3 linked regions of the Arabidopsis thaliana genome follow. The protein of the gene in region 1 interacts with the protein of each later gene in a pairwise test. Each region holds a gene or a part of one and is shown in the gene's direction. Other genes may lie near its edges.

What was found. Proteins that work in one complex are often made in the same cells at the same time.
Region 2: the proteins of AT1G20110 (region 1) and AT4G18060 interact in a two-hybrid assay, tested with the Arabidopsis thaliana proteins (one study listed by BioGRID).
Region 3: the proteins of AT1G20110 (region 1) and ATG8E interact in a two-hybrid assay, tested with the Arabidopsis thaliana proteins (one study listed by BioGRID).

The regions. Positions count from the first base shown.
Region 1 is NC_003070.9:6,969,828-6,975,659, forward strand, and holds AT1G20110 (RING/FYVE/PHD zinc finger superfamily protein), read left to right. Parts: upstream 1-1,596; 5' UTR 1,597-1,726; coding exon 1,727-2,731; intron 2,732-2,803; coding exon 2,804-2,890; intron 2,891-2,982; coding exon 2,983-3,114; intron 3,115-3,215; coding exon 3,216-3,347; intron 3,348-3,501; coding exon 3,502-3,567; intron 3,568-3,652; coding exon 3,653-3,763; intron 3,764-3,908; coding exon 3,909-4,001; intron 4,002-4,110; coding exon 4,111-4,144; intron 4,145-4,234; coding exon 4,235-4,302; intron 4,303-4,673; coding exon 4,674-4,751; 3' UTR 4,752-5,303; downstream 5,304-5,832. Other genes in the region: AT1G20100 (DNA ligase-like protein), read right to left, coding at 82-352, 792-872; AT1G20120 (GDSL-like Lipase/Acylhydrolase superfamily protein), read left to right, coding at 5,677-5,832. UniProt on the Arabidopsis thaliana protein: Endosomal sorting complex required for transport (ESCRT) component regulating multivesicular body (MVB) protein sorting and plant growth. Required for the formation of intra-luminal vesicles (ILVs)in MVBs.
Region 2 is NC_003075.7:10,026,114-10,031,816, reverse strand, and holds AT4G18060 (SH3 domain-containing protein), read left to right. Parts: upstream 1-1,783; 5' UTR 1,784-2,154; coding exon 2,155-2,214; intron 2,215-2,419; coding exon 2,420-2,542; intron 2,543-2,665; coding exon 2,666-2,735; intron 2,736-2,839; coding exon 2,840-2,994; intron 2,995-3,091; coding exon 3,092-3,193; intron 3,194-3,275; coding exon 3,276-3,473; intron 3,474-3,547; coding exon 3,548-3,610; intron 3,611-3,681; coding exon 3,682-3,771; intron 3,772-3,858; coding exon 3,859-3,933; intron 3,934-4,029; coding exon 4,030-4,149; 3' UTR 4,150-4,536; downstream 4,537-5,703. Other genes in the region: AT4G18070 (suppressor), read right to left, coding at 1-248, 873-978; ABCB9 (P-glycoprotein 9), read right to left, coding at 4,537-5,181, 5,257-5,520, 5,596-5,703. UniProt on the Arabidopsis thaliana protein: May be involved in the recruitment of DRP2A to the accessory protein complex and in the negative regulation of its GTPase activity.
Region 3 is NC_003071.7:18,622,405-18,626,327, forward strand, and holds ATG8E (AUTOPHAGY 8E), read left to right. Parts: upstream 1-1,859; 5' UTR 1,860-1,974; exon of another isoform or gene 1,975-2,132; 5' UTR 2,133-2,140; coding exon 2,141-2,180; intron 2,181-2,302; coding exon 2,303-2,358; intron 2,359-2,750; coding exon 2,751-2,803; intron 2,804-2,902; coding exon 2,903-3,122; 3' UTR 3,123-3,387; downstream 3,388-3,923. UniProt on the Arabidopsis thaliana protein: Ubiquitin-like modifier involved in autophagosomes formation. May mediate the delivery of the autophagosomes to the vacuole via the microtubule cytoskeleton.

The DNA.
Region 1 (5,832 bases):
GATTAAACGTCTCTGTTTCAGTATATGTATTCAAACACAATAAAGATATTCATCTAATCCGGGAAGAAACAAAGCACAAACCTTTGATTTGACTCTCAACAACAGCAGGAGAAGTTTCCCTTCTTCTCTTCTTACTGTTCTGGCTACCATCAGACAAATATCCAACCTGAGGTTGCTCAAATTCTTCTGTTAAACAAGATTTCTCAAGCTGTTCGGATTCATATGAGACTGTCTTGGTTGTGGAATACTTCTGTTCAAGGGATTTCTTCTCTTTCTTTAATTTCTTTTCTTTCTTTTTCTCCTTCTTCTCTTTCCGATGCAGCTTTTTAGAATCAACTATTGGTCTTTCGATCTTTATAATCCAATCAGAATAAAGGATTTAGACTAGAGGAAGGATTTATCAGGCAAACAACCAGATACCCATATACGTGGGTAACATCATTCAACCACAAACACACATAATGTTAATTACTCAAAACATATATCTACAACGCGTCTTTATGGTTGACTTTATAATTGGAGACCAAACCAAACTAACATACATGTCTACACGACATCGTTAAGAACGAAATTCATTATGCTAAAACATGTATAGTGTAGATTCAATTCATAGATCTATGCTGAAGATATTTTCCTACAATTTAACCAATCAATAACTTATATGCAACCTAGAGATCTGGCTACAAAGAGGATATTATAAGGAAATTTAACTCTGACCGAACACAGAAACCCATGTTCAGACAAGAGGACACCGTAGCGAATCAATCACAAGAATTGAGTGCTCGACGAACCTTAGTCCATTCGACCAAGTTTTGACCGTTCGCCCAGTTCCTCGCATACACAGGCGGTGGGGATGTGAAATATCGTGACATCGTTTTTTCTTCTTCTCTTTCTTTCTTTCTCAGATCGAATCGACTAACGGACAAGACAACGGACAGTAATTCGGACAGAACTAAATCGAACCTAGGTTTCAGATTCGCGCCTAATGAAACTTCTTCTTTGTGGCGCGAAATCAAAACGAAATCGATAACGAGAGACGGAAGAGAGAAGAACCCTAATTTTTTTTTTCGATTCGATTTTGTTAATCGATGAGAGAGAGAGAAAGAAGAAAAAAACCAATTGCGGTTGAGAAAATAATGGTGAAGGGTAAGGTTCTATTTAAAGACGCGTGAAACACTCAGATCCGCCGACTCGGGCTATACTTACGTTTTTGGAAAGAATAATGTGAAAACCCTAATTTGTAAGGGCTATTCCGTCAATTAGTCGTTATCATCTCCGTGAAGCTCGGTCCGAGTTTGCTACGTCATCTGAAATACCCTTTTTATCCTTTGCGTCTTTCTTACTCCAAACTTTATTATTGGGCTTAACAAAAACTACAAAAGCCCAAAACCCAATGTTAATACGAGGAGAATAATTAATTTTAATTGACTTTGTGATTAATGGGTCTCTTGTCCGACTTGGTTCCTTACGCTTGCATAGAAAAACAGCTACAATTATCTGTGGGCATCACGCGTTAAAAAACCATCTCTTACTTCTAATCAACGGTTCATTATACCGCCACGTGTATTATTATTAAATATACAAAAAAGTTCGCGGCACAGACAATCCTTCCCTCACCAAATATTCCCTTGACTCTCTCGATCTATCTTTCATCTTCATCTTCGTCATCGTTTCCAATTTCCGATATAATCTGATCAAATCATCGCCGACGATCACCGATTCAGCGATGCAACAGGGAGATTACAATTCGTACTATCACCACCAATACTCTCAATTTCAAAATCCTACTCCGAATCCTAATCCTAATCCCAATCCTTCTCCGCCGGCGCCGGCAACCGTAGCTGGTCCGACCGATCTTACTCGAAACACGTACGCATCAGCGCCACCGTTCACCGGCGGTTACGGTTCCGCCGATTACTCTAACTATTCACAGAATTACACTCCTTACGGGCAAAACTCTGAGCATGTCCCTCCTTCAGCTCCTTCCTTCACTTCACCATCACAACCTCCTCCTTCTCCGCCGGCGACATCACTAAACCCTAATTCTTATTCAACCTTCAACCAACCACCACCTCCACCCACGATTCATCCACAACCTCTATCCTCTTATGGATCATTTGATTCTACTGCTCCGTATCAGCAACCTACCTCGCAACATATGTATTACTCACCGTATGATCAGCATCAAACCTCTGGCTATTCATCTGCGCCTCCTCCTTCATCTGCGCCTGCGCCGAATCCTAATCCCGCGCCTTATTCATCATCCTTGTACTCTGCACCTCCTTATAGTAGCGGAGGATCATCCATACCTCCTTCGTATGAGAAACCGTCAGTGAAATTTGATCAATCTGGTTATGACGGTTATAACCGGAGCAGATCGGATTTAGGATCTGATCTATACGGAAAACGATCTGATAGCGGAGAATATCCTGCTTTTGAAGATTCCTATGGCGATGGCGTTTATGCTTATCAAGGAGGCAAAGTTGAGCCATACGGTTCTCGTGGAACTGCGCCGAAATCATCGAATTCAACATTGTTCGATGATTATGGACGATCCATTAGCTTTTCTTCTTCAGGGAGAGATTCTTCTGTTAGCTCGAATTCTGCTAAGATCGTGAGAGCTGTTCCTAAGGCTGATGTGCAGGAAGATTCCACTGGTGGTGTGCAGAAATTTCGTGTCAAATTGTTGGCTGAGACTTATGGACAAACCACAACAGATGTTCTTTGTCAGGTAATGTCCCCAATTCAATTTGAACTTTGTGTTACCTAAACTAGTTTTAGTGAATTGGTTTTGTGCTAGCAGATTGGTTTGGATGGTCTTCGTATGCTTGATCCAAGTACTAGCCGAACTTTGAGAATATATCCTCTTGAGAACATCACAAGATGCGAAGTAAGAGATTATCTACCTTCTTCTTATGACTGAATTTGTTCCATTTTTGTGACTGGAGGTCTTATCTATTGTTGTAAATGTCTTTCTATCAGAAACTAGATTCGTCTATTCTGGCTTTCTGGTCTAAGACTCCGGTAGACATTGAAGCTAAACGTATCAGATTGCAATCAAATAGTTACACCACCAACACCCTTCTGGACACTGTGACGGCTGCAATGTTTCAGGTTCATAAAATTTACAAATTTTGTTTCATTAAAAGTCTATATGTCAATTCCATCATGATTTCTTTTGACTAATCCAATGTTCTTATGTTGGTGGGTTTTAGGCCAAGGAGATCGGGGGAAGTAGCAGGCCTCCCACCTCTGGAAAACTGATTGAACAAACTGCTGAGAAGAAAAAAGGATTGGGTGATTGGATGAACATTATAAAGCCTGTTAATGAGGAGAAAGATCATTGGGTAGGTTTTTTTTTTTTTGGAAGAAAAACACATTTCTCTTGTAGTCAAAGTAAAAGGGCTAGGGTAGTTTTGGTGATTAGTTACATCACTTGATTCTTATTTTCTTGCTTAGCTGTGGTATGTTGTTCTCATTCCATGTTATTTTTGGCTTTAGGTACCTGATGAAGCTGTTTCTAAGTGCACATCATGTGGTTCAGATTTCGGTGCATTTATACGAAGGGTATTATTTTCCCCGATCTAACAATCTGAATTAAATTTTTGGCCATGTTGGGACTATCAAACCTTATGGATTTTTTATTTTCTAGCACCACTGCAGGAATTGTGGTGACGTCTTCTGTGACAAGTGTACTCAAGGCAGGATTGCTCTCACTGCTGAGGATAATGCTCCTCAAGTCCGTGTTTGTGACCGGTGCATGGTATGCTTATCTGTCTGTTTATTTTTCCTTAAGTTGAGAAATCATGTTCCGTTGATTCCTGAGAATGTAGCTTTAAGTTAATTTGAACTGGTATCTTGTCTTTTATGCGTATGCCTCTAAGTTCAATCTGTTTCTGGATGTGCAGGCAGAAGTGTCACAAAGGTTGAGTAATGCCAAGGAAACCACTGGCAGGAATGTGAGCCTGCAGAGCCATGAAGACCTTGCTAGAAAGTTACAGGTGAGCTAATCGTCCTTGGTTCTTTATTAAGTTTAATGATTTACAAGTTGAGTTAATATCTTGGGCAAAGTATATAATTGTTTTCTGATGGCGGATATGTTTGATACAGGAGGAAATGGAGAGAAACCGCAAGTCTTCGTCTGGTAATTTTTCATATCTAATATACTTATGTTTATGATATATTGTTTCTGGTATTTTATGGTTGCTGACAATGATAGCTATGATTCTAACAGGTTTGAGGGAAGGATCTGGGAGGCGGATGAAAGAAGTAGCTTGTCCAACATGCACTGTGCACTTACAGGTTAGATCCTTTGATAGCATGTCTTTCGTTGTATGATTTTGGGACCCAATTTTTTCTAGAATAAGGAAAACAGGGAGGTCCTCATAATCACTTGTGTCAGTGTGTATGATCATCTTGCAAACTACATTGACGAAATAGAATAGCTAGAGAAATGTTTATGTCTTACGTGAGACCTCTAGTATTAAACAGTTACATATGGTCGATGTGATTTTCTATTAAGATTGGATCATGGAGATTGTCGCTTAATCATCTGAATAAATAGTTAAAGCAAGTTGATAGATAACTCGAGGCAGATTGGAATTTGAAGTTGGCTTGTTTGTAGTGTCTCTTGATAGTATGCGTTTATGAGAGCATTGCCATTTAAATTGCAGGTCCAGGTTCCAGTCTCAGGATCAGAGACCATTGAGTGCGGAGTTTGCCAAAACCCTTTCCTCGTTAGCGCACATTGATCTTCCTACCCGCTTTTTTGCTTGACATATATATCAATTATAAGTATGAGATTTGGTTCATTTGGTTATTGAATTGGGTTTGATCACATCAAAATAAGTTCTTGTCCTGTCTCATGTGGATGGTGTTTCCCCTTTGTGTGTATATGAAAGTCTTTTGAGTGATGAACATCTTATACTTTTCATGTAGTCTGTTGTCCTACTGATGTCTGATTGGTTAATTTACTGTATCAGTCCTCCAATGTCATTACTCCTGCTTCAATTTCTCTGACCACTCACATGTAGTCCAATCGGTTCGTTGTTCATTATGTATTTTACTACCATTAGGTCCAAACACTTGAAACGTTATGTTATACTGCGCCTGGAACCGAAACAGAGCGGTTTCAAGTTGACCTGGTCTTCTTCCATGGTAATTGCAAATCCTCTGATTCGAATCAATGAATGCTACAATGGTGTAAAATACTGTGCTACAATGGTGTACCAAATTTTTAAGCTTTCCTTTCATATTCAATTGATTCAATTAGGTTAAGTATCATAAAACGCTTTAATATTCTTGTCCACACTTGTTCTTTCTCGAGGGTCGAGGCTGTGTTTATTCGAGTTGTTTTTGGAAAATCATCTCGTATTTTTTTTCTTTTGAGAGAATAGTGTAGAAACTGTGGTCTTATAGTTTTAGAGGGTAATACGAAAATGAGAGTGCGATTAGTAATGGATAACTGAATTTAAGAAAAGTTCAAAGTGTGTGAATGAGAAGGAGTCGTAAGAGACAAGCATCTTCTTCTTATAACCATCTAAACCACATGCTTATGTCCACTTTTTTTCTTTCTTTCTGAGTGAAAAACACTTTAGTCTCCCACTCTTTATATTTTGTAGCTTCACAGCAAAAATTCTCTTTTACTTATCAGACAGATAAGATCATATAGCAAATATGTTGCAAGATAGAGTTTCTGGTTCTTTGTCTAGTTCGAAAATATCTCGATGTGTTTTGTTTCTCTCACTCTTTTGTTTCTTCCTCTTGACGATGCATGCTTCAGCAAACCGCTTACAGCGAGTTCCAAATCCAGGGCCTTCCCCGGCACCAGAG
Region 2 (5,703 bases), on another chromosome or scaffold:
AGCAATAGGCACAGGTTGAATTGGCACAGAACTCACAGTAATAACTTCAGAAACATCATCACCAGTCTTCTTATCATCATCTATCTTCTTGACTTCCCGTGACTCATCATCCGAGCTGGAGCTGCTGCTGCTGCTGCTACTACTACTGCTGCTACTAGAGCTCTTGTCATGATCATGGCTTGAATCAGTGATCTCTATGCGTTCATTAACACCATCATCGCTCTCCTTGTCACCTTGGCTTCTCGAATCTAGCACATCAGTTTACAAATCCAATCAATATCACAAACAGAGTGACTTAACACTGACTATTCAAGTCAAATCTAACTATTGTACCATCCAGAGAATGAAACATATACTAGTAAACAAAATAGGCACAGCTACTACTAATGAAACCAAAGCATCAGAGATAAACAAAACTCAGCAAATGATAAACAACTTCAATCATAATCATGAATCTGATAAACAAAACTATCCTTTAGTCCAAAACAGAAAACTAGATTCAACCCATATGGATTACGAAGCAGAACATGCTAAAATTAACCGAAAGATCAAATTTTTACAGCTTGAGATCCCAAAATTGTGAGCCTAAAACCCCAATCAAAACACAAAGAAGAGTAAAAAAGATACCCATTTGTTTAGATCAATGAGCACAAAACCATAAAAATCAAAACTTGAAGAAACTATACAGAGAACAAAGTTAAAAAAAAACTCAGATTTAAAGCGAAGCAAATATATAAACAAACAAGAAAGGTGGCCTAAACGTGTGTGGTGTGAGTGAATAATTGAGAGATACAGAGAGACAACAACAAGAAGAAAAAGGCAAAAAGAAGAAAGTAGTAGTGAGATTATGGGGTGTTAAAAGAATTAAAAACCATGGTTGTTGGATTTGAGGTTGATTAGAGTAGAAGATCCTTGTTGTTGTTGTTCTTCCTCTTGCTTTTTCTTGGCAGCTTTCCTTTTCTTAGCACCTGAAGGCATGATTTAGGCTAGGCTCCTTTGGTGGGGATCGATCTCAAAAACAGCTATGGCGGATCGTGGCTTTTGTCTCTTTGATTTCTCTCTGTTAAAATATAATGGCGTCTTCTTTTCTGTCGAGCCGTAAATGTTTCAAAACTCAAATTGGTGGAAGTGGGAAAGTTTTAGATTCTTCTTATACATACATGTGAAAGGGTTTCTGAGTTTTATTGCTTTTTTTTAACTGTAAAATCACTAATTGATCTTCTTGTAATTTTGTTTCCGCGTTTGTTTCGTTTATTTTCCGCGTTTGGTTTACTAATTTAGCTATTAACGAAATAGTATAATGGATAGAGATTATTTTTGTAAAGTTTGTTCAAACAAAATCATCTTTACAACTTGATTGTGTTATAGATAAATTAAAACAAAAAAATGTTGTCATTCAGTACTTTAGATACCAATATACATTTGTCTTTTGGTTGACTATAATTTGATTTAAGTTTACATCAACAATAGAACCCTGTTTTAAGAACATGGAATTTAATGAAATATCTCACTGAAATTTTAAGTCGGTAGAGTAGGAATCTATACTATACTGAGAAAGGCAACGTTAATAATAAAATAAAAGAAAAAGTATATAGGTTGTCTTTTCAGATTATAATTATGTAATGGCAGTTAGGACAAAATGATATGGGAGGAGTGGGGACAAATAACAAGTGGTTATGAGTTGTCCATGTCAGTTTTTTTGTTAATACCTATACTTTTAAGTTTTAATTAACTTAATCTCAGTTTATGCCAAACGGATTTAGCTAATTTTAATTAATTACTCAATAATAATCGTAAGTCGTAACGTAAGGTTTTTAGTAGAAAAGCCTCGTCTGCTTCCAAATAATTCAATCGCGAACGCTCCTTTTAATCAGACCGGACCGGACCGGTTTGGTTCAATCAATCGAATCGACCCGACCCGCTTAGATCGATGTGTGTGCTCTGTGATTGACTGATTTTCTCAGAGGGATAATCAGTGACACATCGAGTCGAAGAAGAACATACATTTCTACTGAATCAGATCTGATCTGCTTTGTCAGTTTTTAAACTGTTCTGATCTAATTGAGATTTCTCAATTCCACTCAAAATCCTTTAAAGCTTGTCTCTTTTTGGTATCTCTGAATCAATTTGGGGAAATCAAGAGGAGAAGTGACAATGGATGCGTTTAGAAGACAAGCGAGTAAGCTTAGAGACCAAGTCGCAAAGCAGCAACTGGTAATTCCTTTTCATCGCCGCAACTAGTTTCACTGTTACCGATTCAGCGAAACGAAGCTCAATTTAGGTTCTTTGTTGCTAATTTGGATTAAAAAAAATGGAAACTTTTTGATGGGTTTTGATTTGTATATTATTGAGTATTATAGAGTTACACAATCTTGGTTGTGATGATGTGTTGATTGATGTGTGGTAATGGGGAATGTAGGCTGTGATAAAGCAATTCAGTGGGACTGGTTATGAAAGCTCAGATGTAATGGTGATTGATGAGCTTGAAATGCAAAGGCATCATCAACTCGATAAACTTTACCGCTCTACTCGTTCTGCAAAGGTTTGACTGATATTGACCTAATGGCATTGTCACATTTTATATGAGTTCATTGTTGGGGGAGAAGGTTTCAGTATGATTCATCGTAGCACAATACCCTCAAACATATGTTATTGTCACTTTCAGGAGTTCCAGAGAGATATTGTTAAAGCAGCTGAGGCATTTACCACGATCGGGCTCAGACACATTGAAGCAGGTACTTAACTACTTATGAGTGTCTGTTTTGTGTTACCTATCATTGAATTAAGTTATACTATGATACTTTTGTGAGTTTTCTTTTAATATTCTTTAAAATTTCAGGAACCAAGTTGTCTGAAGACTGTTGTAGGTATGGGAACGAAAATAGTCAGAACATTGATGAGAATATACTGGCCAAGGCTGCAGCTATATACGGTGATGCACGGAAACATGTAGACAAAGAACAAGAAGACTTCAACAAGCTTTTGGCTTCTCAGGTTCGGCTTGGATTATCTGTGTTTAATCTTAGTATGTTTACGTAGAATTAAATCTAGTAGATAACAAGAGAAAACCTTTTTGTTAAATGCCGTTAAGGTTTTGGATCCTCTAAGAGCTATGGTTGCCGGTTCTCCTCTTGAAGATGCTCGTCATCTTGCTCAACGTTACAGCCGCATGAGACAAGAAGCAGAGACACATGTAATCATCTTAAGATCTTAGTTCTATGATGATGTTGGCTATTTTATTTTGTAATGTAAGTTAAAACTTAAAAGCAAAACAGGCAACGGAAGTCTCTAGACGGCAAGCACGTGTAAGAGAAGCTCCGATTCCAGAAAACGTAGCAAAGCTTCAACTAGCGGAAGCAAAAATGCAAGAGCTAAAAGCAAATATGGCAGTCCTTGGTAAAGAAGCAACTGCTGCATTAGCCGCTGTTGAATCACAGCAACATAGACTCACTTTCCAGAGGCTTGTGGCTATGGTATGTTTTACATACACACACACTGGATTTTTTTGTCATATGCAGATTACTATTTACCTTATCGCTTATTCTAGGTTGAAGGGGAGAAGAATTATCACTTAAGAATAGCAGCCATCCTCAGTGACATTGAAGCCGAGGTTAGTATTGGATGAATCTTTCCCACATCTTTTTCTCATCAAAGGCTCACACTTTTGGTCTTACCGCGTAGATGGTAACCGAGAAACAACACAAAGAATCTGCTCCTCCTGCGATTCCAACAGAGAACGGCTCAGAGAAAACGTCATACTTTCTTGCTGAAGTAAGTTTTATCTTCCGTAATATTATCATCGCATATCTCACAGAAAGAAAAAGACTCTCCATAAGCAACATATATGTTCTCTCGCAGGTGATTCATCCATTTTCCGCTGCTTCAGAGAAAGAGTTAGACTTGGACAAAGGAGATTACATCGTTGTCCGAAAGGTTCACATCTTCTTACTAGTATCAAAGAACTAACTTCTGTAGTGAGAGAGCATGAAACTTAACTCTCTGTGTGCTGTTTTTCTTTCGTATTCTCAGGTGAGCCAAACCGGTTGGGCTGAAGGAGAATGCAAAGGCAAAGCTGGTTGGTTTCCTATGGCTTACATTGAGAAGCGACAGAGACTTCCCACTACCAACTTTGCTGCTGAAGTTTACTGAGTCTCTTCTTCAAAGATTTCATTTTTTCTTACATTTGTGTCTGAAAACTTTGTTTCAGTTATGTCCTGTCCCCAACAAACTACTACTCTTGTTCATATTTGTTGATCCAAAATAGAGTTTACCTCCAAAAAATGTTTTATTGATTCTTCTTATTGAAGAGTGTTCTTAATGAAGATAACAAGAAAAGGAACAAATGAAACGTTTCTAACATTTGGAACGCACTTTGTTAGAAAGCAAACCCAAAGAATTCAATTAGTGTGGTACGAGGCTTTTAAAGCTCGAAGTAAAAGGATCTGTTTGTCTCAAATTTATGAGTTCCAATGGACAAAATTAACGAATCAATTCCAAAAATTCTCTCTTTCATTCCAACCAAAAACAAAAAGTCTCTTAATTTGCACTCATGTGCAGAGTGACAAGAGAAGCATAAGCACCACCTGAAATCTTCATCAGTGTCTCATGCCTTCCTTTCTCAGCAATAACTCCGTTTTTCACAACCGCGATCACGTCTGCGTTCTTAATCGTCGTAAGCCGATGAGCCACAACTACAGTGGTTCGATTAACCATAACTCGATCAAGTGCATCCTGAACAACACGCTCAGATTCTGCGTCCAATGCACTCGTCGCTTCATCAAGCAACAAAATCTTAGGATCTTTCAAAATCGCGCGCGCAATCGCAATCCTCTGTTTCTGACCGCCCGATAGCTGAACACCGCGTTCTCCAACCGACGTATCGTAACCCTGAGGCAATGAGCTGATGAAGTTATGTGCGTTTGCGGCTTTTGCTGCTGCTATAATCTCTTCCTCTGTGGCTCCACCGGTTTTACCATAAGCTATGTTTGATCTGATCGTCTCGTTGAACAAAATCGGTTCTTGACTAACCAAACCCATCTGTTGCCTTAACCAACTCAATTTAAATGTCTGAATCTCCACCTGATCGATCAAAATCTTGCCTGAATCTGGATTATAAAACCTCTCAATCATGCTTATCACCGTTGATTTCCCGCTCCCGCTCTCTCCAACAAGTGCAACGGTCTGAAAAAACAACCAATAACCAATATTAACCGGTGAACCAGATTTAACCGGTAATTAAAAAGCTCTGTTTTTTACCTTTCCAGAAGGGATAGTCAAGCACAAATCTCTGAAAATCTGAACGTCCGGTCGCATTGGGTATCGGAAACTAACATGTCGGAATTCGATATCACCATTAACGTTTTGTAACGTTGTACCTTCATCAGAGCTAGAATCAATCTTCGGTGTACTATCGAGAATATCGAAAATCGAAGCTGCAGAGTCTTTAGCTTTGTTTGAATCAGGTGCCATAGCACTCGTTTGAGAAACTCCAATCGCCATAATCGTCAATGCAAAGAAAACCTGTAAAAAATACACTCTCAAGATCACTAAACCGAACCAGATCTTAATTAAACCGAGAAATGTTTCTCATCTTACCTTGAAGACTTCACCAAATGTGGCTTTACCAATTTGAATCAACCCGGCACCACTGACGAAACATACACAATTGATGCAATAGAGGAAAAAGAATGAGAAACCGAAACC
Region 3 (3,923 bases), on another chromosome or scaffold:
GTTTCCACCACTATTGTGTCTCTGTCCTAAAACAAAATGTGTATCGCATTAAATTAGTTTTCGCCCCTTTTTGTTATTTTTAGAATACAAATTACCAACTTGCTTATTCAATCTTAGAGGTGATGACTAGCTAAAGAAGGGACACCACTAACGTGCCACTTGTGTAGAGATATTCAATTGTATATTATATAGTATGCAATATGAATTTTGTTTTGTTTTTTATATAATTTATATTTTTTCCGCCAATATTATTTTATTTATATGAAGTCTTAACTTATTAAACGTTTGCACAAAAAAGAAAAAATAAACTTCTTATTACGTCTCATACACAGGGTTCGGACCTTATTAGTGGCATTTGCGCAGAGTTACTATTATCGATCACTTAAAAACATATATAGGAAAAGTATATCGGTAATGGAGCTCTAGATGTAGAAATTTCGTAATGAAATTATGAAATCTCAATTAAGATGAACATGGCATGGCATACCTAGCCTAGTTGTATCGATGTTATGTTTGGATTTATATGCTTATGGCAGAAAGTAACAAATACAGAAATACAATAATGCTACTACATGGTTATAATATATGGTCTCTTTTGTTAAGACAACGACCAACACAACTACACCACAAGATAATCATCGATTAGTACATTATTAAATCTTAACTATTATTGCTAAAATCTAGGGATAGTTGAAATATAAAACTATACGATGCACTATTACATACATTCTCCATTAATCATTTGGTAATGATGAAGTGCTCCAATTATATACTACCTTTCTTTATTTTGTTATGTTCCTTAACATCTCTATTACTAAAGATTTTCGGAGATTATGAAATATTGTGAGGCATATATGATATATTCATACAAATTACTCTACACGTTTTTGAAAATTGATAGGTTTAAACATGATTGTACCAGGGAAGACATGGTCAAACAGAAAGCTATTAGCTTTGATGAGGGACCTCTTAACAAAAAATTTGTTGGTAGAGCCAAAATGATTGAACTGACAAATTTTCATAGAGTTTGGTGAATTGAATAACTCCATATGACCAATTCTGTTTTGTAAGACAACGAAAATTATGTTTTTCGAATATCTTTGTGTTATCGTACAGAGGAGCGAGTCACCAGAAAGCACAAACACAACGATTTTGTATCAATTACATCGATACGCAATACAAATATTTGGAATATGTCATACATATGTATTGGGCCTTTATCTCATGTCTCATCAAACCTCGTATCTATCATAAACTTACGATTCACAGACCCACTTACTACTTATTCTGGCCCATTAAAGTTCTTCTTTTTTTGTCGGTTCTAGCCCATTAAAGTTCAGCAACCCTTATTATTCATTTTTTAGTCTTTCTATTTCTAATTATTCAATTTTATCCAAATAATGAATGAATAAAGTTAAACACCGACACTGTTATATATATATATATATATAACAATACACCGCCACGTGAGAACTACGAATGGGAATTTCGCATTACATGTTTCGTTAACAATATAAACTGGAGGAAAAAAACACATCGAAAGGAAAAAAATTCAATGTAAGAAAAAGTGAGGGAAAGGCAAATCAAAGACGTGTTCTACACTAAAAGGAAAAGTATGAGGAAAAACTAACAATAAATTAAACAAAATTTGGTATTTTATTACGTAATAGTAGTATTAATTAATTAAAAGAATTGACATTGACCTAACAAAAATTCTTAAAACAAAAAGAAAGAAAAATTTGTTTGAACAATAATGGAATGACTTTGTTTGTTTGGAGAACAAGCTAAGCTGACGTGTCTAATAACTCAACACGTCAGCTAACAGACATATATAAACAAGTGTATATAGAGTTAACGTTATCCAATCATAGACGAAAAGAAAAAGGTTCCTTTTTTTGACTTTGTATCCGTAGATCATCTTCTTCTTCTTCTTCCAGAGTTTTATCCTTATCCGTTCCATCAAATTCTCTCTCTGTAAGTTTTCTGTTGATTTCTCTGTTACATACTCTGTTTTGATTTCTCTAGATTTAGAATTCATTTTTTTCCCCGAAAAGACGCGGAATTTCGATTTGGGTGTTGAAAACAAAATTAGGGTTTTGTGTCTCAATTTCTTTGATTGTGTATATTCTCAGAAGCAAAGATGAATAAAGGAAGCATCTTTAAGATGGACAACGATTTCGGTTAGTCTTTTATTCTTTACTGTTTCGATTTTGTGACCTAGAATCAGTATAGAGGCATACATGTGTATCAGCGTTCATATCTGTATATGTATATCTGATTTCTAGAGATTGTTTATGTGCAGAAAAGAGAAAAGCTGAAGCTGGAAGGATCAGGGAGAAATACCCTGATCGAATTCCTGTAAGTTTTGTTTTGATTTTTATCTGATTTTGTTCTGGTCTTGTAAGGTTTTCTTATGGTAATAGATCTCTGTTTTGCGTGTCTTTCAATTTATGATGTAGCATGAGTCTGTGTATGTAATTTAATAGTTTAGTTTGGGATGCATCTGTCTTTGTGTTGTTTTTGTTAATTTGATCAGTTCTGTTCTGTTCTTGTAAGGTTTTCTTATGTTTTTGTACCTGTGTTTGCGTATTTATCAATGTATGCTGAATTCGGTTTCACAAACAATATCATGAATCTTCGTGGTGAAATTTAGTTTAGGTTACAGAACATTAGCTTCGTTGTTTGAGAATCCAATACTGTTTGTTTTTTCTACAAGATTCAGATTATCTTACATTGTAGTTTGGTTGCAGGTGATTGTGGAAAAGGCTGAGAAAAGTGAAGTCCCAAATATAGACAAGAAGAAGTAAGTACCTTTTGTTGATCATGTTAAACTTGTTATTTGTTCAATGTTTTCAAGACTTGTATGTAATTTTGGAATTGTTCTGGATTTTGATAAATGCAGGTACCTTGTGCCATCAGACCTAACAGTTGGTCAATTTGTGTATGTGATTCGGAAGAGAATCAAACTAAGTGCAGAGAAAGCTATCTTCATTTTCGTAGACAATGTTCTTCCTCCAACAGGAGAGCTAATGTCAAGCGTTTACGAGGATAAGAAAGACGAAGATGGCTTCCTTTACATCACTTACAGTGGCGAGAACACATTCGGTGCTTCTTCAATCTAATCTCTGACCTCTGAGAATCCGCCACGTTTTAATGCTTCTTCCCAACTTTCAATTTGTGTGTATAGTTTGTTCTCAATATTTATCATTTCTCAAATAATTGTGATTACTATCTTCTTTTCACTTGTTAAAATGTACATAGACTAATCTTATAATATTATCTTCCTTTGGTATTATAAGTTTGTGTGGCTTTCTTTCTCCCTCAAAGATTTCATTCATTAGACTGGTATCATTTGATGATGCTACTACATGAATTCTTTCTTGGATACTAAACGGACCACTCTAGAAGGTATCTTACAAATTTGGATAAACTAGACCAAACCAAATATTGGAAACGAGTAATGATGAGATGTAGACTCTTTGAATTTTGTTTTTGGGATTATCTTGTCCAGTTGCATTTGGAAATATAATCGGTTGATGCTGAAAGATCTATCATTCATAAAAAAATCTAAAGGAATGGGGACTAATGCAATGTAAAACAATATCTTATCAACAACGTATAATGGATCTACACAACTATGATCAAACTGATGCATACCACCCAGAGAGACACTCTGTCTCAAAGTTTGTGGAGCCTCTTCTTTCACAAACAAACAAGACAAAAATCTTGTCTTTTCCCTTTCTGTGATAGAAAAATAAATTAACAATTCCTAAAAAATAGTCTAATCAATTTCAAGACCTCAAGTTGCAAAAGCCAACTAGCTGGATAGTTTTGTTTCTTACTCTAATTTTCTTAAGTCGCTCACATGCTATTTTATCTCTCGGTATATGTAATTAGTAATAACTTGTTCTATATAAACCATG